Pelodiscus sinensis: one gene and its partner. The protein of the gene in region 2 purifies or fractionates together with the protein of the main gene of each other region. This does not show direct contact. Links are inferred from orthologs where the notes say so. Each region holds a gene or a part of one and is shown on either strand. Other genes may lie near its edges.

What was found.
Region 1: the proteins of SMARCA5 (region 2) and HDAC1 fractionate together in Homo sapiens (co-fractionation; 3 studies listed by BioGRID). This does not show direct contact. The link is inferred for Pelodiscus sinensis from reciprocal best matches to the Homo sapiens genes SMARCA5 and HDAC1.

What each region holds. Positions count from the first base shown.
Region 1 is NC_134735.1:3,685,676-3,696,460, forward strand, and holds the start of HDAC1 (histone deacetylase 1), read left to right. Parts: upstream 1-6,488; 5' UTR 6,489-6,601; coding exon 6,602-6,650; intron 6,651-10,785. Other genes in the region: tyrosine-protein kinase Lck, read left to right, coding at 1-38, 1,174-1,376. UniProt on the Homo sapiens protein: Histone deacetylase that catalyzes the deacetylation of lysine residues on the N-terminal part of the core histones (H2A, H2B, H3 and H4).
Region 2 is NC_134715.1:41,840,874-41,851,551, forward strand, and holds the start of SMARCA5 (SWI/SNF-related matrix-associated actin-dependent regulator of chromatin subfamily A member 5), read right to left. Parts: upstream 4,500-10,678; 5' UTR 4,230-4,499; coding exon 4,092-4,229; intron 3,681-4,091; exon of another isoform or gene 3,512-3,680; intron 1-3,511. UniProt on the Homo sapiens protein: ATPase that possesses intrinsic ATP-dependent nucleosome-remodeling activity.

The DNA of each region.
Region 1 (10,785 bases), on a different chromosome or scaffold from region 2:
GACCGAGATTGTCACCTATGGCCGGATCCCTTATCCAGGTTAGGACTTCACAGCAGCACCGCGTACATTAGGGATGCAGCTGATTAAAGGGGGCCTGGGCGTGGAGGGGGGCGGGTTGCTCCATTCCCGCTGGGCTGGAGCGCTCCCCCTCTCCACCACAGCTGGAGGCTGCTCCGGACGTTGGAGCAGCCGCTGTCTGTGAGGCGTCTGGGCCCACCGTGGGCAGGGGCTGCTCTGGATGACTGGAACAGCCCCTATCTGCAGAGAGCCTCCCAGCGGGACTGGAGGGGAGCTGCTCCAGCCCCCACTGGTTAACAGTTAACTGGAACGGGTAAGCGTCACCTGTTAATGGTGATACTTGCCAGTTAACCTTTCACATCCCTAGCGCACACACATGGGCCCATGACCCCTCTCTACTGATGGGATGGTTTCGTTCTGTGTATCTCTTTGGGCTACAAATGCCGGTCCATCACCCACATAAAATTGACAACAGTAGCTGGAGTCGTGACTGAACATCTCGGCTACGTCTACACTGGCATGATTTTCCGAAAATGCTTTTAACGGAAAAGTTTTCCGTTAAAAGCATTTTCAGAAAAGCACGTCTAGATTGGCAGGATGCTTTTCCACAAAAGCACTTTTTGCAGAAAAGCGTCCGTGGCCAATCTAGACGCGGTTTTCCGCAAAAAAGCCCCGATCGCCATTTTCGCGATCAGGGCTTTTTTGCAGAAAACACTACTGTGCTGTCTACACTGGCCCTTTTGCGCAAAAGTCTTTCGGAAAAAGACTTTTGCCCGAACGGGAGCAGCATAGTATTTCCGGAAAAGCACTGATGATTTTACAGGAGATCGTCAGTGCTTTTCCGGAAATTCAAGCAGCCAGTGTAGATAGCTGGCAAGTTTTTCCGCAAAATCAGATGATTTTGCGGAAAACCTTGCCAGTCTAGACACAGCCCTCCTGTGTCCCTGCATCTCCCAGAACGGGGTGTGGCAGGGCACAGTGAGGAGGCTCCCAGCTGTTCCTGTCCCAAACTGGATCAGCCAGAGGTGGGGCAGGGAAAAGGGCAGGATCACGGCTGTGGGGCAGGGCAGAGCGACACCTCTCCCAGCATTGGGCTGTGTCCACTGCACCCTGATTCGGTCGTCCCTAACTCAGGGCCATGTGTTCTGACCGCAGGGATGACTAATCCGGAAGTGATACAGAACTTGGAGCGTGGCTACCGAATGCCTCAGCCTGACAACTGCCCGGAGGAGCTGTATGGACTGATGCTGCACTGCTGGAAGGAGAACCCAGAGGAGCGCCCCACCTTTGAGTACATGAAGAGCGTTCTCGAGGACTTTTTTACGGCCACAGAGGGCCAGTACCAGCAGCAGCCATGAGGGGACCCTGAGCAAGGGGCTGGCAGCATCCTCACTTTGGGATGTAAGGGAGGGTGGGGGGGGGGAACGGTCCGGGTGCATGAGCTCCTCAAAGACTCACACAGCTCAGCCCTGGGCTTTCGGATCAGAGCTTAAACCTGGCAGAACCCTCACGACAGTGAAGATGTGTCCATGTTCCTGCAGCACCCACACACGCGTGGCAGATCCGTCTTGATTCTCAGAGCCGGGGCGCCGTGTGTCTCACGCACGCCGGCAAAAGAACTGCACGGCCCTGAGGGCTGCCAGGTTTCACCCACAGGCTGGAGCGCCCAGGCAAACTCCGCGGGCACACGTGTCTGCTCACAGCGCTGCCCGGGGGCTCACGCCATGCACACGCACCCCACAGGGGTGTGCACCCGGGCAGGAATCACAGAAACGGGCAGCTATGCAGATGCACACAAAGGCTTAGGCGTGGGGGCGCACCCCCTTGCCCCCCTCCCGCTGCAGACACATGGGGACATGCCGTGCACGTCCAGCTGAGAGCTGCCCTGGATACAATCAGACCCATAGCAACTAAAATAACAGTTTTGCGCCAGCATGAGACAGACGCCAAGTTCTCTCTCCTCGGGCATCGGGGAACACTCAGGACCCGCCACCGATTGCACTGGAACTAAAAACCCCTTCTCAGCACTGATCTTCTGGAGGGAGAGACTCAGAGAGCTGCGGTGTGGAGCACCCCACGCCCCGCCCTCCCATCCCTCCCCTGTGTTCCCAATGCTGTATTCCCCCAGGGAAGATGGATGGATTAATCAGGGTCAAGGGGTTTTGCATGGAGCTGCCAGCCTTGGAACTGGGACCTGCTCACGCTCAGGGCTGTGATCAAAGCGTACAAATCGATGGACTCCCCCACTGTGCAACATAACCCTCTTTGCGCCAGAGCCAGACGGTCTCCGGGACACCCCCGAACACGACCCAGTGCCCACGAAGCTGCTGCTCCCTGCCCTGCGCTCTTGCTGATTTTCACTGTGAAACCACATGACTCTGAACAATGCCTGTCACGCGATGGGGTGTGCGAACAGAAAATAAGCACGGCCAAACTGGGTCAGATCAAAGGTCCATCTAGCCCAGCATCCTGTTTGCCGACTGGGGCCAACGCCAGGTATGAACCAGAGGGAATGAACAGAACAGAGAATCAGCAAGTGATCCCTCTCCTGTCGCCCATTCCCAGCCTGACAGAGGCTAGGGACACCATCCCTGCCCACCCTGGCTAATCGCCATTGATGGACCCAGTGCTTTTTTTGTTTTAAAAAAAAGGTGCTGGTACTACAGGGGAAAAGTTGTTGAGCTCTGACTAGAGGGGCCGGTACTGCGTCTGGAGGTGCCAGTACTGCATGGCAGTACCATCCCCAAAAAAGCATTGGCTGGACCTATATACTCCATGAATTTATCTAGCTCTTTTTGGAATCCTGTTAAAGTCCTGGCCTTCCCAACATCCTCTGGCAAGGAGTTCCACAGGTTGACTGTGCGTTGTGTGAAGTATTATGTAAGAACGGCCAGACTAGATCAGACCAAAAGTCCATCTAGACCAGGATCCTGTCTTCTGACAGTGGCCAGTGCCAGACACCCAGCAGGAGTGAATAGAACGGAGTCATCAAGTGCTTTCTCCATCACTCATTCCCAGTTTCTGACAGAGACTCGTGACATCATCTCTGCCCATCCCATTCTCCATGAATTTATCTAGTTCTTTTTTGAACTTCCTTTTGTTTGTTTTAAACCTGCTACCTATTCCTTTCATTTGGCGACTGCTAGTTCTTATGGTATGGGCACAAGTCAATCACTTTTCCCAGAGCCCTTCCAAACGTTTGGTAAAACCGCCACCAAGTGCAACCATTGTAGCCAAGGGAGAGAGGAGCAAACCAGCAGGCGGAGAAGGAGACATTTCAGCTCAGACTGCAGCTGACCTGATGAGTCAGGGAGTGTGGAGAGGTAGAGGAGGCTGTTTCACCTGGCAGGAGCTGCAGAGGTGAAATCTCTTCTGTTTTCTCCGCACCGTTGACCGTGACATTAGTGCCCTGAAAAGGGGATCGAGACAGGCTCAAACCACAACATTTAGCTCCAGAAGGGGGGCTCAGAATTCGACCCCAGGCTGGGCTGGCAGGTGGTGGCTCTAGAGTGGACCCACACCTACCCTCGGGGGTTCTACATAGTCCCCCAAAAAGGCTTGTGGGAGAGAAACCTTCTCAAGTCCCTGGAACGAGCCTCTCTGAATGACCAGCCTGTGAGGACTCTGATCCCCCCCCTGCCCTTGTATTTTAAAGCCCTGTCTTGTGTTGCTCTTTGATTTTCAGTAAACAAACACCTTTCGGTAAACGGCACCCGTGTCCTCCACTTGAGGGGGTGGGAGGGGGCGAGCTTGACATTGGGTGTATACAGAGGTGGAGGGGGGGCTCCTGGCTCTCCTTGAAGATGCCGAGCGGCAGAGGAGTGGCCCCTCTCTTCTGCCGCGGGGGCCAGTCGTGCAAGACCGTTCCAGTGCCGCGCGGGCGGGATCCGAGCCCCGGGCGTGGGTGGATTTATTTGTGTGGGGTGGGTGGCTCAGCACGACACAGAATCAGGCCCGAAGCAGGGCGATGGCTGACCGCAGGGAGCTGTGTGTGCTCACAACCTCACAGGGGGAGCCCAACCGGGCCAGGCCCCGAGTCAGGCCCAGTGGGATGGGAGTGAGGGCGCTGGGCGGGGGTGGGGGCCTGAGGAAGCATTCGGCAGAGGGCGAGGGGCACACTTGGCACTAGCTGGGGACGGGCAGGGGGCTCAGTTGGGACAAACTTAACACCTAGCAGGGTGAGAGGGGGGACTTCAGACAGTGCCCAGTAAGGGGTTGCTGGTGTCACAATTTCTGGCAACCTCCGCCAGTAGTCACCCTGTGTGATCTATTTTAGGCTTCAGGCTACCAATTATCACCTCTCTATGGTGGAGACCTGCATCTCATCCCTTCCTGTCCAGGGATTTTAAACTACACTGCTCCCTGGCTTACATATTCCCAGCAAGCCAGGCTGCCTAGCAGGCCAGCACACTATGCTTTGCTTTCTCTCTAGGAACTAGGCCCAGTGTATTGCCTAGAGGTGTAGGTAGGTTATCACCCAGTTCTGGCTAAGCCAGCACATTTATTCTTAAGGTAAAAGCACTACAGTACAGCAAAAACACATTAATAAAAGAAGCTATGTGCAAGCTAGAAAGTCTGCTAGAGGTCACCCCCTCCCACTCCAGCCTAAGGCTCTGGCAGGAGTCTGTCCTTCAAAATCCACAACTGAATGTTTCCTGCAGTTACAAGTTCATGTCCAGAGATCCAGAACTGGAACCTAGGCTGGGCTGATCAGCTGTGTCTGTATGCTGCGCTCACCTTTGCGCTTGGCCCTCTGTAACAGGTCAATCCACAGACACTTACCCTTTCCTCAGAGGCTACGTCTACATTGGCAAGATTTTGCGCAAATAATTTTAACACAAGAGTTTTTACGTTAAAGTATTTGCGCAAGACAGCGTCTACACTGGCATGTGCCATTGCGCAAGAGATTTGCAAAAGCATCCATGCCAGTGTAGACGCTCTCGCGCAAGAAAGCTCCGATGGCCATTTTAGCCATCAGGCTTTCTTGCGCAAGAAATTCATGTTGCCTGTCTACACTGGCCTCTTGCTCAAGAACAGTTGCGCAAGAGGGGTTATTCCTGAGCAGGAGCGTCATAGTTCTTGCGCAAGAAGCGCTGATTTCACACATTAGAATGTCAGTGTTCTTGCGCAAGAACTCCCTGCCAGTGTAGACAGACAGAATGTTTTTGTGCAAAAGCGGGTGTTTTTGTGCAAAATCATGCCAATGTAGACACAATCAGGGTGTAAAAGGCTGTTTTTTGCATAACAAGGATTGGGGAATTTGTATTAAGCTTTCCCTAGGGATTCCCAGGAAACCCACTTAACACATATTGTCTCCACAATTCATGTTTGTTCAGCTCATTTTCAATATCGTCTTTTGAACTCCCAAGTGTCACATTTCTCTCTCTCTCACACACACACACACACACACACACACACTGAAACATATTTTGGGGGGATTAACAAAAAAGTCTTGCAAGGGTATAGCACAACTGGCATGTGGCAGAAGCTGTGGTGACACTGGTCAGTCCCTAGGTGAAAGAGCTGGGTTGTGACATGAACAAATAGCTGCCTCATTTGCACAGACTAAGGTGAGGACAGCAAGTGTGAAAAATCAGCTCACTTTTTTCCACGGGTGCAGGGGATTGTGTATTATTGAAGCATCTGGTGGCGATGGTGGTCCCCTGAATGCATCCCCCCACCAATGTTCCCTCTAATCTTTCCCATCCATGTGTGGATTTTTTCCATTCATGTGTGGAATACATTTTATGTGCATCACCAGTAGAAACAAAACAACTAGATCTGGGTGCTCTGCTAATCAGCTGGGCAGCACTGGAATCTCTCCAGAACAGCTGCGCAACTGCCCATCTTACAGAGACCACTGCCCCCCATGACCCCAGCCCTACCCCCACCTGGGGCAGACATAATGTCCCCTCCCCTACAGTCATGCTGGCCCCAGTGCATTCTGGGACTTCTGCTACCTCCAGCCCATTGCAACCAGGCCTATGGACATGCCTGGCCCCTGGGCGGTGCACTGTGGGCTGGCCCTAGCAAGGGACTAGAATCTAGATGGGAATGTCTTGTGCAGCCATGTGGCACGTGATGTCATAGCAGCAGGGGTCAAGTGGTTTAGTCCTTGCTGCCCAGACCACCCCTCTTGTGAGAATAGGTCAGTCCTTTCAGCCCAGATTCCTCTCCTGGGGGAATGATACATTTCTGTCTGAACTCCCCTCCCATTCTCTGAGGAATGGTACTTTTCCTTTATCTCTCTCCCCCTCTCCCCTCCACCAGTGGTAAACTCCTGTCTGTTTAGACCCCCCCTTCTCCGGGAGTGGTGCCGTCCTGCCAACCCGTTTGTCTTTTTCTCCCCCTTCTCTAGAGTGGTACAGTCCAGGAACACTTGCGCTCTACCTACCGTGCTAATGCCGCCACCCCGACCTACGTCACTTCTCATTGGCTATTCCTCAGGAAGTGGGTACAAGCCACTCCCCGATAGGCCGGCTGCCCCGCGCGGGGGCGGGAGGAGCAGCTCGCGGGGTGCTTGGCCCCCGGGGCGCGTTCGGTTGCGCTGCGGGAGGGTTTGGTGCGCTCGGGCGGCAGGAAAATGGCGCTGACACAGGGGACCAAGCGGAAAGTCTGTTACTACTATGACGGTGAGAGCCCCGGGCCGGGCCCCGCGGGGAGACACGGGGATGGGGGGCGCTGTGGGGGGAGGGGCGAGGATGGGGGCGCTGTGGGGGGAGGGGCGAGGATGGGGGCGCTGTGGGGGGAGGGGCTCGTGGGGGAGGGGTGGGGATGGGGAGCGCTGTGGGGGGAGGGGTGGGGATGGGGGGCTCTGGGGAAGGGCTCGTGGGGGGAGGGGCGAGGATGGGGGCGCTGGGGAAGGGCTCGTGGGGGAAGGGGCGAGGATGGGGGGTGCTGGGGAAGGGCTCGTGGGGGGAGGGGCGGGGATGGGGGGTGCTGGGGAAGGGCTCGTGGGGGGAGGGGCAAGGATGGGGGTGCTGGGGAAGGGCTCGTGGGGGGAGGGGCGGGGATGGGGGGCGCTGGGGAAGGGCTTGTGGGGGGAGGGGCGGGGATGGGGGGCGCTGGGGAAGGGCTTGTGAGGGGAGGGGTGAGGATGGGGGGCTTTGGGGAAAGGCTTGAAGAGGGAAGGGTTAGATGGGGGGGTGCTGGGGAGGGGCATTGGGGAAGGGCCAGGAGAGAGGTTAGGGATGAAGAGGGTGCTGAGGAAGGGTCTAGAGGGGTGAGGATGGGTGCATACTGGGGAAGGATCTGGGGTTCTGGGGAAGGGTAAAGAGGGAGTGTTGGGAAAGGGCCTACAGTGAGGGGAAGATGAGGCAAGGAGGGGTGCTGGGGCAGGGCCTGGGATGGGGGCAAGGAAGAGGAAAGGAGGGTGTGGGAGAAGGCTCACCAGGGGGTGAGGATGAGATGCTGAAGTGCCCTAGGCTGCTGGAGAAGGGTCTGTGGGGAGGTGTTAAGATACTTTTGAATACTTTCGGATCTATACTGGTAATATCAGTCAGCACAGTTGCTTTTTTTTTAGTTGGTGAGATTCTGTGGCCAGGGTTATTGTGTAGGCATTAGGTATGGCGGGCAGTGTTTTGTGTGTGTGTTCATTCCATGACATTTCCCCAAAAGTTGGGTGTTACCCTGGTTGGAATTTGGCCAGGGCAACAGGGCTAATTCAGTGGGAGAATTGGCAATTGCTTCCTCTTATTGTGGGGCTAGGAGGTATTTGTAGCGATCATTCAGGCATCTTAGTATGGTTTATTTAAGTGTTCTGCTCCATCAAATATATATCGGGGCTTTTATTTCTTCAATACAGTACTTGCAACATTAGGCCCTGGTTCCAAAATGAGATCCACTCCTGCCTGGGCACAATGCCCTACTGATTTCAGTGGAGTGCTAGATGGGGGTCAGCCCTGGCAAAACTTGTTGCTGTCTTTGGTTCGGCCAGTTACCATTATACCACAAGTCTGACTTCTCTTGTCACCAACAGCTGATCTGTGCGCTTGAGGCATGTTAGACATAAAATCAAAATATTTGTGACCCACATTAATGCCCCAAGGTTAAACTTTGTGCATCCTTCAGGGTTCCTGGAAATACAGGTTTCTGGTGGTGATATTTGTGGGAATGCTGTACCTGTCTGAGTGATTGTCAGATGGTGAATGAAAGCTCTGTCTGGGGTTCTCATTGCCCCTTCAGATGCACAATATTTGCACATGTATTCACACACAGGTGATGAACTAGGGTTTTGTCATCATGGACACAAAGGTGACATTTGTGTTGGTTTTTATTCATTTTGGTTTTTACACCATGATGATAACATGGCCTTAGTTACAGCATTGTAAAATACAACGTGGTGATGAGGCATTTGTAATTTTATCACAAGGTAGTGAGGGAAAGTGAGTGTTATAGCTCCTCACCACCTGCTCATGCTTAACCTAACAATAAAACTGTGGTGCTTGGTTTCCACCTGTTTGGTTCAGCAGGATAGGTAATGCTTGGAGGTCAGTAAATATAAAGACTAGCATGCTGGTAGAGTACAGTTTGTAATAGCGTTTTAGGGGATGTCTACGTAGTGTTTAAAAAAAAAAAAGTCTCTTGACTTAGGTTGTTTGGATTAAAATAGCAGTGAAGACCTGGCAACTCAGGTTAATAGCTCAAGTCCAGCTCCAGACTCTCTGTAGACTTTAACTTGAGCCCATAACACAATATAAAAGCAGAGTTGCTATGTCTTGACTGCTATTTTAACCCGGGGCATGACAAGTAACCCAAATTAAGAACACACCTTTTCTGCAGTGTAGACATGCTCTTAGAGGACACCGAATTCCCACTGCTTATGAAAAGAAATGGTAAATAACTTGGTTTAGCAAAATAGACTTCAAGATAGACTGGCCAGTTCAAACCACTTGTAAGTTGCACGTGACCAAGTTGCAAGTTTCCTGGACTGTTATTAATGTGGTGTTTAAATATTGCTCTCTACCATATGTTCCCTAGCTAGTCCCTAAAGTAACATAGGACTCCTTGTTATTTTAGCATCTTCCAAGTCTTTTGGGACTTGTTAATGCTTGGAATTAACCTAATTCTCAGTGTTGGTACCACTGCATCAGCATTAAGTTCTATTGTAGACAAGGAAGGCCGCGGTCTCCCCCAGTTTCAAGCAGATTAAAACTGCACCAATGCAAATTGTGATTTTTCTCTGTCTACACAAGGAGAAATGTAGCGAAGGCTTCAGTCTTTGCAGGGGCAGTGAAAATTACTCCTGAATGTTGAGATCCATGATGAAACATTATATACTCCCAACTGAGTCACTGCTAGGCCAGATTGCCTCTCTTACTACTTAGGGTGGTTTGGGGTTGTGAAACTACTTGACTCTTATTTTTTGTCATTGTTGAGTGTGAATCACCTATAGGATAGGCCTGGATGCACAGGAAAGCACTGATATACAAAATCTTATTTTATGATCCCAATTATTTTAGTTCATCTTCACAGTGCATTGCAGGCATTAACTGTGTTCGCGCCATGTGCACCGGTGAGATAGGAAACAGGAAGCATTGCCATTTTACAGATAACGAAGGTGAGGCAGATCTCTAAGGCTATGTCTACACTCACGGCTTCTTGCGCAAGAACATCTTGCGCAAGGGTTCTTGTGCAAGAAGACTTCCACACTGCCATGTGTGAGCTGTGCTTTTGCGCAAGAGCGCCCATGGCAGTGTGGACACTCTTTTGCGCAAGAAAGCTCTGATGGCCATTTTAGCCCTAGGGCTTTCTTGCGCAAGAAATCCCTGCCGAGCGTCCACACTGCCCTCTTGCGCAAGAGGGCTTACACCTGTTATAAAAGAGCGTAGCTCTTGCGCAAGAAGCCCTCTCTTACCACGCCGTACTGTAGATTTCCTTGCGTAAGAGCGGGCGGGCAGTGTGGACGCTCTGCGGATTCTTGCGCAAGAACGTCCATACTTGCGTAAGAAGCCGCAAGTGTAGACATAGCCTAAGTGATTTGCCTGAGGCTCTTAGGCGGCTGAAGAAATTGAGAGTTCCTGCCTCCAGTCCAGTGCTGAGGCTACACAGCAGAGTTTCTCAAGGAGACTTGTATCTTCATTAGCACAAGATCACCCTAGAGAAGATTTCTAATATTGGGAGATGATGCCATTAAAGGACAACTACAATAAACTTCCGATAATCCGGCACCTTTAGGACCCAGGAGGTGCCGGATTATCAGATATGCCGGACTATCAGAAGGAGGGGCTATGAGGGGTCTGGAGTGGGGTGGGAGGGGATGCCACCCCAGACCCTTCATAGCCCCCCCTCACGATAGTCTGGCTCTACCCCAGGCGTCCCTGATTCAGCCGCTGCTGGTCAGTTTCAGCAGCAGCTGAATCGGGGATGCCTGCAATAGAGCAGCTGGGGTGCTGCCGGGTTGGTCCCGCAGCGCCGAGGGGTGGTGCTGCAGCGCCGAGGGGTGGCGCTACAGCACCAACCCGGCAGCACCCCAGCTGCTCTTGGGGACACCTGGGGCAGAGCAGCTGGAGTGCTGCCGGGTTGGTCCTGCAGCGCCAAAGGACGGCGCTGCCGGACCAACCCGGCAGGACCCCAGCTGCTCTGCCCCAGGGATCCCCAATTTAGCTGCTGCTGAAACAGATCAGCGGCTGATTCCAGGAAGCCCGGGGCAGAGCTGCTCTGCCCCGGGCTTCCTGGAATCAGCCGCTGATCTGTTTCAGCAGCGGCTGACTTGGGGACCCCTGGGGCAGAGCAGCTGGGGTCCTGCCGGGTTGGTCCGGCAGCGCC
Region 2 (10,678 bases):
GAACAACTGTCATCTCTACTGGAAGCAGAAATACTACTGGTATGATCAACCCTTATACAATTGTTCTGAAGGAGTATTTTACATAGGTTCTTCAGGAGTTTAGGGAAGAGAATGAGCTATCTGGAGAAATTACCCTTCACCATCTGTTAAGAATAGATGGCCTACACTGGAAGTTATTTATCTCACCTCAGTCCCTAGTGTGCAGTGGGGAATGGACAAGTGATATTAAAACAAATCAGGCTGGAACCCACACAAAGCAAATGAAGGGAAATAAAGAACATAGACATAAAAGGAGACATAATAAATACTATGCCAAGCTAAGGCCCATCAAAAAGAGATATGAGTAAGTAAAAACAGAATTTTAGTTTGTCAGTCAAAAAAGAAAAGATCCAAAAGAAAAGAACTGGAAAAATCATTGCACTCAGGTATCAGCTCAACAACAGACCGTCCTACTCTTCTAGCCAGGATCTAACTGGAAACCCTCTCCTGCTTCATGCTTAGAGACAAGCAGAACGGCTGTGACCCCTGAATAAGAGACATACACTGCTGACAAGTTACACACATGAATCGATACACCCTAAAGTGATAGTTACACTAAGGGTGTTAACTAGCAGTTCACTGACTAATTGAGTAGTTGATGGAATTTCAGACTAGTCAGATTAAGAATTTCCATCAACTACTCAATAGGCACTTCCGCATGCAGCCCGGGGCCAGCAAGAAGTCCTGCAGACTCCGGGCTGCACAAGGTGTCAGCTTTGAAATGTACAAGAGTACCTAGCGGGGGCTCTTGTGCATTTCACAGAGGCAGCACAACATGGAGCCAGAGTCAGCTAGGGAGTCCCCAGCTGATTCCAGGTTCTACGGAAATGCTGCACTGGAGCACAGGATCAACTGGGGAGTCCCCAGCTGACCCCGGGCTCCATGTGCAGTGCCACACAGCTGAGCCAGGGATCAGCTGTGCAGCCGCTGCGCACATGGAGCCTGGTGTCATCTGGGGACTCCCCAGCTGATCCTGTGCTCCAGTGCAGCATTTCCAAGGAACCTGCGGTCAGCTGAGGAGCCTTGGCATTTCAAAACAGCAGCGCCACACAGCTGATCTTGGGCTCAGCTGTGCGGTGCTGCCGCTTTCAAGTGCCGCTTTCCACCCCCCACCTCCCTTTGCTGCCTCTATTTAACAGAGGCAGCAGGGGGGACAGGAGGGAGATCAATTAGTCTTTAATATCCCTAAGTTGTACAACTTCAAAAGACAATGGGCAACAACTGTAGACTGAATTTAACACAAGCATTTTCCACTTTAACATTTCGGTAAGATTTTGAAACTAGGCATACATAAAATAGTCAAGACACCATTGAACACTTCAACTAAATATGAACTCAAATCATTCTTGATCTTCTTTGTAAACTCATCAGCTGTTCTTTCTTCCTCTTTTGAAAAGTGTAACATTTGTTTCACTCTATGATGTTGAGCCTCATTTATAGAAGAAGGAACTGTATGAACAAAAATTCTCAAATGAAGATTTCCTAATTTCAATACCTAATTATGGTATGTCTCTCTCAATATGGAAGCTATAGTTTCTATCCAAAGAACAAAGTGTCATTGCTCTTCATACCTTCATAAGATGTATCTATATTAGCATTTTCCCTTAAACTAGGTTTCCTACTACTGGTCAGCAACATTGCCTGTCCACCAAAATTTTTATCACCATATATCCACTAATCTTAAGAACACCAACAGCTAACCTACATTAGCTTTCTCACCATTATTACTAACAGAAGAGTTAAATCTATAGTAGTAAAAACAATGAGAAATCATGTGGCACCATAAAGAATTTGTTTGGGCATAAGTCTTTGTGGGCAAAAATCCATTTAATCAAATGCAAGTAAAGGTGCAACAGGACTCCTCACTATTTTGGCAGATACAGACTAACGACTATCTCTGGAAAAACTTAAAAAACAACAAATAGTCTAGAAGCACCTTAAAGACCAACAAAACATGTAGATGGCATCATGAGCTGTCATGTGCACAAGCCACTTCTTCAGATGAATAGTTATTAAAGGTCCAGTTCCAAAATAAATGGGGGGAGGGGCAGAGAAGGAAGTGAAAAAGAGGGAAAGTAGTATTAGAGTGTACACATTACATGAAGCTGATAGGGAAGGAGGAAATTGATCTTAAGTACCCATTGTTTGGTTTTTTTAAGTCATTAGAACATGGAAGGTAGTATGCTAGCCAGGTAGTGTCTTTATTCCTAACTTTATGATGGCTATCCCTCTGAGACGTAGCAATAGTAGTTTAATAGTAGGAGATTTTAAAAAAAGCCAGTGCAGACAAGATCCTAATAGCTCTTCATACAGAAAGGAGGAAGGGGGGTTGGGTTATGGCTGGGTCTTGGCTAGTTAAGTAAGCCATCTCGGGAGGGGGGGGGGGGGGAGAGGAGGGAGGAAGGAAAGGACCAAATCTGGTAACAATAGCTAACAATCTTTCCTTCTGAATCAATGTAAAGCAATATTCCAGAGGAAGGAGGCAAAGCACTTATAAATCTTCATAAGGAAACTTTCCAATCCAGTTTAAAAGAGATACAACTACATGAAGAAATATTTTAAATAAACATTGAAAGTGGTTTGGTTTCTTCTTGAGAACTATAACTTTACAAGAGACAAAAAACATATAAAAATCCTTGTTTAATAGCTTCCAGCTTAGCTTTTATGTTTTTAAATAGGATTTATTACCCACAATGTTTTAGTTATTTGTTCATCTGAAGGAGCTACTCTAAGAAAATGGAATTTGCAAACTAGTCAGATTAAGTAGGTTGGTTGTAAAGAATGATTCAGAACATGAAATATTCATCAATAAAAAGCAGACAAACTAGTTTCCATGTATGGCTAAAGAAACAAATGCTGTTACAAAACAATCATCTCTAGGCATTAGTTCAAATCCCAGGTTCTCCTAACCCCCTGACATTTCTGAATTAGGCACCTGTTGCCAAAATAAGACATTTCAAACAACAGATGATACCACTGCTTTATAAAATGTTGCCAGATGTACTCTGTTTTTTTCATAACTTAAAGAGAAAGCACAGCTAAACATAAATCTTTGCTGGGAAGCTCACTTAGAAAGAATAGAAGAATTAATTCAACAGTTACAGCTGCACTACAAAAAGAACTTCCTGGGGGAAAAAAGGAAAAATAAATTTCTAGCTAGATACTCCTGGAATAAAACAGAACACAGAAAGGAGAGTTGGCCACATTTGGGAAACCTGTGACTATTCCAGCTTGCCTTCAAAAATCCAATTTCAGATTGTTTTCATTGTCTATCAGTCAGAGAGCAGCCGTCAATGTTTCTTTGTGTTCTTTTTCTCGTAGCAGTCTGTGGTACATCGTTCATAAAGGGGAAGGAACCTCTTGTTTGCATATATTGAGGTACACAGCGCCCACCGAAGTGACAGGCAGAGCCGTGAACAGAAAACAAACAACGGGAAGAGGGTGCGTATGTGACAAAGAGAGAAGAACCTACTTTCTGCTGAAGGGGTGGGAAGCCGACGTAACAGCTGCTACCCGCTTCCCAGCATCGCGGAGACTCCCACAGCCCCTAGACACAACGAGACGCGACTCCCGTTTCCTGACCGCCCCCAATTCATTCATGAACCAAAGAGAGAGAGACGAGGCGCACACGCTGTACAGGGGAGGCGGCTCAGCTCGGCTCCGCTCCATTCACACGCGCCGCTGAAGGCTCCTCATCCGCCCGCCCGCTCTATTGTCTCTGCCCCACGCGGCTCACGCAGCCTGCCGGCCCCAGCCCTCGTGGCACAGCACGACGGGTGGTGGCGGGCTCGGCCACCGGTTACTGCGCGGCTCTGCGGACAGACGGGGGGGGGGGGGGGAGACTCAACTCACCCCCCACCCCGGGCCCTAACGGGGGGAGTCGGACAGAGGAACCCCACGTGTGCCGAGGGAGCCGCTCGGGGCGGGACAGGAAAACCCGGAGCGGGCCTCGGAGAGCGAGGGGCCGGAGCATCGTCACCAGCTCCAGAGCGTCCCCCGCCCCCCCGGCTCACGCCCGGTCCCGGGGTTTGGGGGGGGGGGGGTCTCCTCACCTCCATGTCAGCGTCACTCGCGCCGACAGGCGGCGCCCCCGCGAGCTCGCCGCCGTTGCTGGTGGTTGCGGAGGAGGGGGCGGTGCCGGCGGGGGACAGGGTCTCATCCGGCGGCGGCTCCTGCTGCCCGGCGGACATGATCCCGGCGCGCGCGCCCCGCAGACAATGCCGGGCCGGGAGCCCGCTCCCGCCGCGCCCGTTGGGCGGGGAGAAGAAGCGACCCCTGCACGCAGCGGCGGGCGGGACGGGCTAGAGAAGGGGGGGGGGGCGCCGCTCGCAGACTCCGCGCCGAGGGGATTCCCCCCTCCCTGTCACTGCTGCCGCCCCGGCTTTCGCAGCGCGCTCCCCACCAACCAGGAACCAACCGAGCCGGCTTCCAACTCTCGCAAGAACTCCAGCAGGGAGCCAATGCGCCTGCGCAACGAACACGTCTCTGGTTGGGCTCCCACGAGGTGCGGCGAGCCGGCTACGACAGAGGGAGGCGGGGCCGCGCTCGCGCGAGGAGTTGAGCCGGGATAACCGCAGACTTATTGCGTCACTACCTTCCCATTCTCTCGCCGCTTCCCCGCGCTGGGTACAAGGAACGGCGAGGCGGAGCCTAACTGGAAACCCCGCCCCTAAGCGAGCGTCACACCTGGGAAGGTTCAGTTTGGGACACTCGCTTGCCCGCGTGCCGCCAGCCAGGCCTTGCGAGCAGCAGGCTGCAGCCGCCCGGCCCGTGTGCCGGGCGCGCCTCCTTCAGGGGACACGTTGATTTTTACATATTTAATTTTACACTCCCGCTTGCTTCGGGTGGTTGATGGTCTGAGGGCGGTTTTGCTGCCAGGCACGTGGTTAGCGACCTTACCTAGAGCAAGCCCGGGCTGCTAAAGACTAGTCCACTACCCCATAAGAATTTATTGGACAGCCTTTTGCCTAGTAGTCAGCTAGCGGTAGCAAACGGAGCGGTAGCGAAGGGGGAAGGGGGAAAGGAAGGGGTACGTCAAAGTGACAGCACTGCCCAGCTGTGCAATGGTGCCACTACACCGCTGGTCTGCAGATCAGCTGTGCAGCAGCTACCCCCTTTGAAATGCCTCTGTGCCTTTCAAAGGGGCAGGGGAGCCCAGGCTCAGCTAGGGACTACCCAACTAAATCCAGGCTCACCCAGACACTGCCCCAACACCCCGAGCAGGTTCCAGGGAAGTACTGCACAGAGCCAAGGCCAGCTGGGGAGTCCTCTGTTGACCCCAGGCCATGCTCGATCAGGCCCTTGGAATGGACTCTATTGTTTTCTTTCATAGGTACCTATGTAGCCAGGTGAATAGGGAGATGCTAACACTAGAAATAGATATATTAGGAACACAGTTGGAAAGGGAAAGAGAATTTCAATTACAGGAGAAAATGAAGAGCCATTGGATCCAGGAGCCACATACCACACCGATAAGGTTTTTAAAAGTAAAAGTAAAAGATGAAAAAATGAAGCAAGCAAAGAAGTGGAAAGGGAAGAGATTAACAAACTGGAAAAGATCTCCATAACAAAGAAATGCATGAGAGAATTAAAATTCAGTTCAAAGTAGCAATGTCAATACCAAAAGAAAACTCATATTGAGAGCAGAAGAGGCATTAAGAGACTGTTGTCACAAGTCAGGAAACAAGCCAGACACAAAAAAAAATAGGACAACACATAAACCTGCACAAAATAATTGAAAAAAACCCCTACCTTATCAATAAAGCCCTATGCAGAAACAAAATTTGTATCTACATCTGTATCCGCAAAAATGAGCGGAGGATGGATAGACACAGATATAAAGTGGATATTCACAAATTTGCAGGGTTCTAGAAAACTAAATTTTTATTTTCATCCATATCTGCAAAAACAAGCTGCGGCTACACCTGTGGATATCAAGCAGATATCCACAGATTTGCAGGCCTCTATTTATTAAGATATTTATTTTTCCAGAGAGAACTGAGCAATAACACAGCATTTGTAAATATGCAGAATGGAAAGAGTAGTTCAATTAGCTTTTCTTTGTGTGAAAATTCCCAGGCGATGCTTCCTGTTTCATTGAACACTTGTTTTTATTTTTTTTTTTAAATAAGGAAAACACATACGGTATATGCTGCTTTAAAAGATCCTATTAGGTGAATAAGAACATTATTAATGTTCAGTGTCTGTAAAACTGTTTATAAGCTATAAAAAAAAAAAGATCAAAAGTGAAAGCATAACTTGATGGCCATATCACTCTGAACACACCTGATCTTATCTGATTTGAAGAAACTGAGCACTGGTAAACCTGGTGGATATTTGGGTCAAGTAAACTTGTGTAGGTTTACTTTCACAGAATATGGTAGTCATCTCAAAGAATATTTTCTATTCTCCTCCTCCAAGTAAAAGGTGAGGCAGAAAGAACGTAGAAAAAGATAGCAATGGATGTTTATAAGACCTCCCATTTTATAAAAAGGAATCACAGTTACTGTCTTAATACTTTGTTTTTCCCTTCTTTCCAGATAATATAAATCACAAATCTTCTAATATTGTTTTTTTTCCCTAAAGTTGGTCTACAAAGTGTTCCAGTTTTTTTAACAGCTTTTAAAATCCAGTTCTTGGAGAAAAAAATGGAAATGGTATGATTGTCTATAACTGGGGAGAAATGCTGTACTCTGTAAAAGGGGGATAGTCTTTATGTGTCAATATCAGCCTCCCCTCCTCACGATATTTAAATTCCCTTAGCAAGTCCCTTTCTTAGTTTTACTTTAGCATGCTTTAGTGGAGAGCCGACACATTGTCCCTGCTTCCTTCATAAGTTTGAAAGGAAGGACCCCTTCTTTTAAGTTTTTAGATAAATCCTGGCCCCACTGAAGTAAGCACTGGTCCCAGCAAGACACTTGAGCAAACAAGCACACTGGTCCCAGCAAGACACTTGAGCAAACATGATTGGGCCTGTTTTAATACTATGCAAATCACTATCTCCATGATCCAACAATACTTATTCCATCCTCAGGAGATCAGGATTTCTACAGATCACAGTGCTGAAAAGGCACATGTATTTATTGGTATTACTGTGTCTCAGTTACACCCAGCCAGCTGAGATACTGTTTCACAATATCAACACTGCTTGAAACCCAAATTGTGACGCCATCTCTCTCTCACCCAAAACCAAAACAAAATCTGCTTATCGTATGTCCATTTCAACAATTCAGTGGAACTATGTTAAAACATAATTGACTATACATACTTAATTGTTCATATGTGCTACTAAATTTAAGTACAGTAAGCACTATACTGGATTTATTCAAGTTATAGCATAATGGTGCTTGCAAAATGTTTCATACAAAATGAATAGCATTAAGTATGTTTTTAGTGCACACCCTAAATGTAATGAACTGTAAGTTGACCATATGTAGGGCTGTTTGCGCAATACAGACTCTAAAAAAAATACCACATGTAGGATAATTCCAGCTTTAGTAAACTTGACCCTAAAAAAACCCCATATAATACCTGACAACATATCTGTGTCAAACTTCACTTCAATGCAACTTCAAGTGAAGTAAAAGAACAACATATACCTATGTAGTATCAGAATCTGGACATCAGTTTATTTTTTTTTAGAGTTCCTTGGAGAATGAGTTTCTGTAACTGATGCTGTCTCTTGCTGAACAAAAATCAAAATGAAAAAGATGCTTCTTTTTGTTTTTATTTACCACACTTCTGTGACTGAAAAGCCTCATATACCATGCATATTTATATGGGTTCAATGCAAACACATATCTTATCCTCAAAATCCTAGTTGTAGAATGAAGCCTGATTTCTCTCTGATCAGTTCTTGAGTGACATTGTTTCCTGGCTAAGACTAGAAGCCATCAGGTTCACCTAAAAAAAAAAATCATTTAACTGTGTGACATTGGGCAAGTCACTTGACCTCCGTGTGAAAGTCAATTATGGGTTGAAAATAGGGTATAAAATTGGTATTAAATTGGACTTTACTAAAAGCAGGTGTTGCATATGAAAAAAAGCTTCTAGTACCCTGCTTCTGAGCACTCATATATATGCAGGTGGACTGCTGCATCCACACAGAGCACCAATGACTTCAGGGGAACTCCAGATCTGCCTGTGCCTATAAACTTGTAGGATTGAGGCCTACATCATAGCATTTTAATCTAGTTTCCTCGGTTTTCATACCTTCACCAAGCAAAACAGTTTCCTTCTGAATCATAACCTGGGGCTAGATTTTTAAAAAGTATTTATGTCCCAAAAGGTTTAGATGGATGCCAAGTAGGATTTCCAAATTGCCTAGGCACCTAATTCCACTGACTCCAAGATTACCTAGTTATATGTAGGTTATGTTTGGGTTACATACCTGAATTTTTCATATGAGCTTTATATTTATCCACAATACAGTAATTCCTTTGTTTCTGTAAAAATGCAAATTATTGGTTCATGTACATGTTCTAACTCCTTTTTACATTAACAATTGTTTTAAATAATAATGTGATAGAGCTTTGGTGATTCTTTAACATGTTCATGAGAGTTCTGCTCTCTCTGAAGGAAAATGAAGTAAAAAAGTACCTATTTTCAAAGTCATTGCTTTTCAAATATGACAGATTTTAATTTTCAAATACAATTAATAATAATTTTTAATGATGTCCAAAGACTCAGGAAATCAGTGTGACCTCGACAGATGTGCTATGTCTACAGGAAAATATTTCACAAGCAACATAATGTACTAAGTTCATTAGAATGTGAAAGCAGGGGACTTGAAAATGTGTAGCCAAAGCTGACAGGTGAAGGTGTGACAGTGCTCATACACAGTTTCAGAGAAAGATCACAATCTGACACAAAAAATAAGAAGGCATCTGTAATGAAGAGACTGCATTGTCAGAAGAATAAATGGTAGTCAGCTAAGGGTTCTGAAAGATATTTTTAAAAAGGCACCACTTTTGTTCCCATTTCATTACATGCGGAATATTAATCACAAGTGTGAGAAGTGAAGATGCTACTGAGGATATGCAGTATAAGTGAAATTCTAGCTAGAAGACTTAAAAACGGGGTATAGAGCTTGTGTAGGCCCTCTCCACACAGGGCAAATTTTGCTCTACATAATGAACAGCACTCTTTCTGAAGTTTACCAAGTCTTTAACTATTGCCTACTTGGAGAAGCCAGGAAAGATTCCTGGAGATATAGACCAGGAATATAGTTCTACAAGACACTCTCAAGTGTAAATATAGCACAGATAATTCCCATTTTGAGCAACCACTGGCACAACATAGAAAATTGAATTGAGTTTACCAATCCTTAGCTGAAATGTGTGCATAGAAGTCTTTCAATGTTTTCCCCCAGTCAATATAGTAGAAATCAGAACCCGATCATCAATTGAAAATATTACAAATAATTTCCCCATTCAAGTAAAGAAAACATGCTTGAGTAAGTTGGATGCCAGGTTTCCTGAATTTCAGGCCAATGGATTTTTCCACGGAAAAAATCCCTCCTCCTCATAAATAAAATTCAGAGCTACTTTAAATTATATACAGTATATAGTTCATTCATGAAACAACAGGAAAAAAAAAAGAGAGGAATTAATGCATAAGAGTGTTACACATGATCAGAGGCAGTATAGCCAGCAAAGTCTCTAGCCCTACTTAGACTATACAGGCAGTCCCCGGGTTACGTACAAGATAGGGACTGTAGGTTTGTTCTTAAGTTAAATTTGTATGTAAGTCAGAACTGGTACATATTGTAGGGGAAACTCTAGCCAAACATTTCTCCAGAGCTCAGTTTTATTCTTCCACACCTCACTTCCCTCAGTCCTTTATTCTCAAGCTGAGGTGTCTGCTGAGAAAAGCCGCTCAGCGTCTCCCTGGTCTGCTCGGGGGGGAGGGGGGTGCTAGCTTCGCTTCTCCCTGGTCTGCTGGGGGGAAGCAGCTGGTGTGGGGTTGCCTCATCCCGTTTGTAAGTAGGGATCCGATGTAAGTCGGATCCATGTAACCCGGGGGACTGCCTGTAATTTCTTTGGAGCAGGGATTGTCTTTTTTGTTATGTGAATGTTTTAACATAAGAACTAGGGGGTCACCAAATGAAATTAATAGGTAGCAGGTTTTAAACAAACAAAAGGAAGTATTTCTTCACGCAACTCACAGTCAACCCGTGGAATTCCTTGCCAGAGGATGTTGTGAAGACCAGGACTTTAACAGGGCTCAAAAAAGAACAAGATCATGGAGGTTAGGTCCGTCAATACTTATTAGCCAGGATGTATAAGAATGGTGTCCCTTGCCTCTGTCTGTCAGAGGCTGGAAATTGGTGACAGGGAGGGGTCATTTGATGATTCCCTGTTCAGTTTACTCCCTCTAGTGCATCTGGCATTGCCCACTGTTGGAAGACAGGATGCTGGGTTACATGGACTTTTGGTCTGACCAGTACGGCCGTTCTTATGTTTTTCTCCAGTGCCTCACACCATGGGATCCCGGTATCTGCTTGAGACTCCTACACTTTATAATGCAAATAACAATAGATGAATATATCCTTGTCTCCATGGCATATTTTATCCTATCCTTTTAAAAAAGACTGAGTATTGATTAATTTTGCTTCTCCCTTTGCTATTAAGTAAAACCT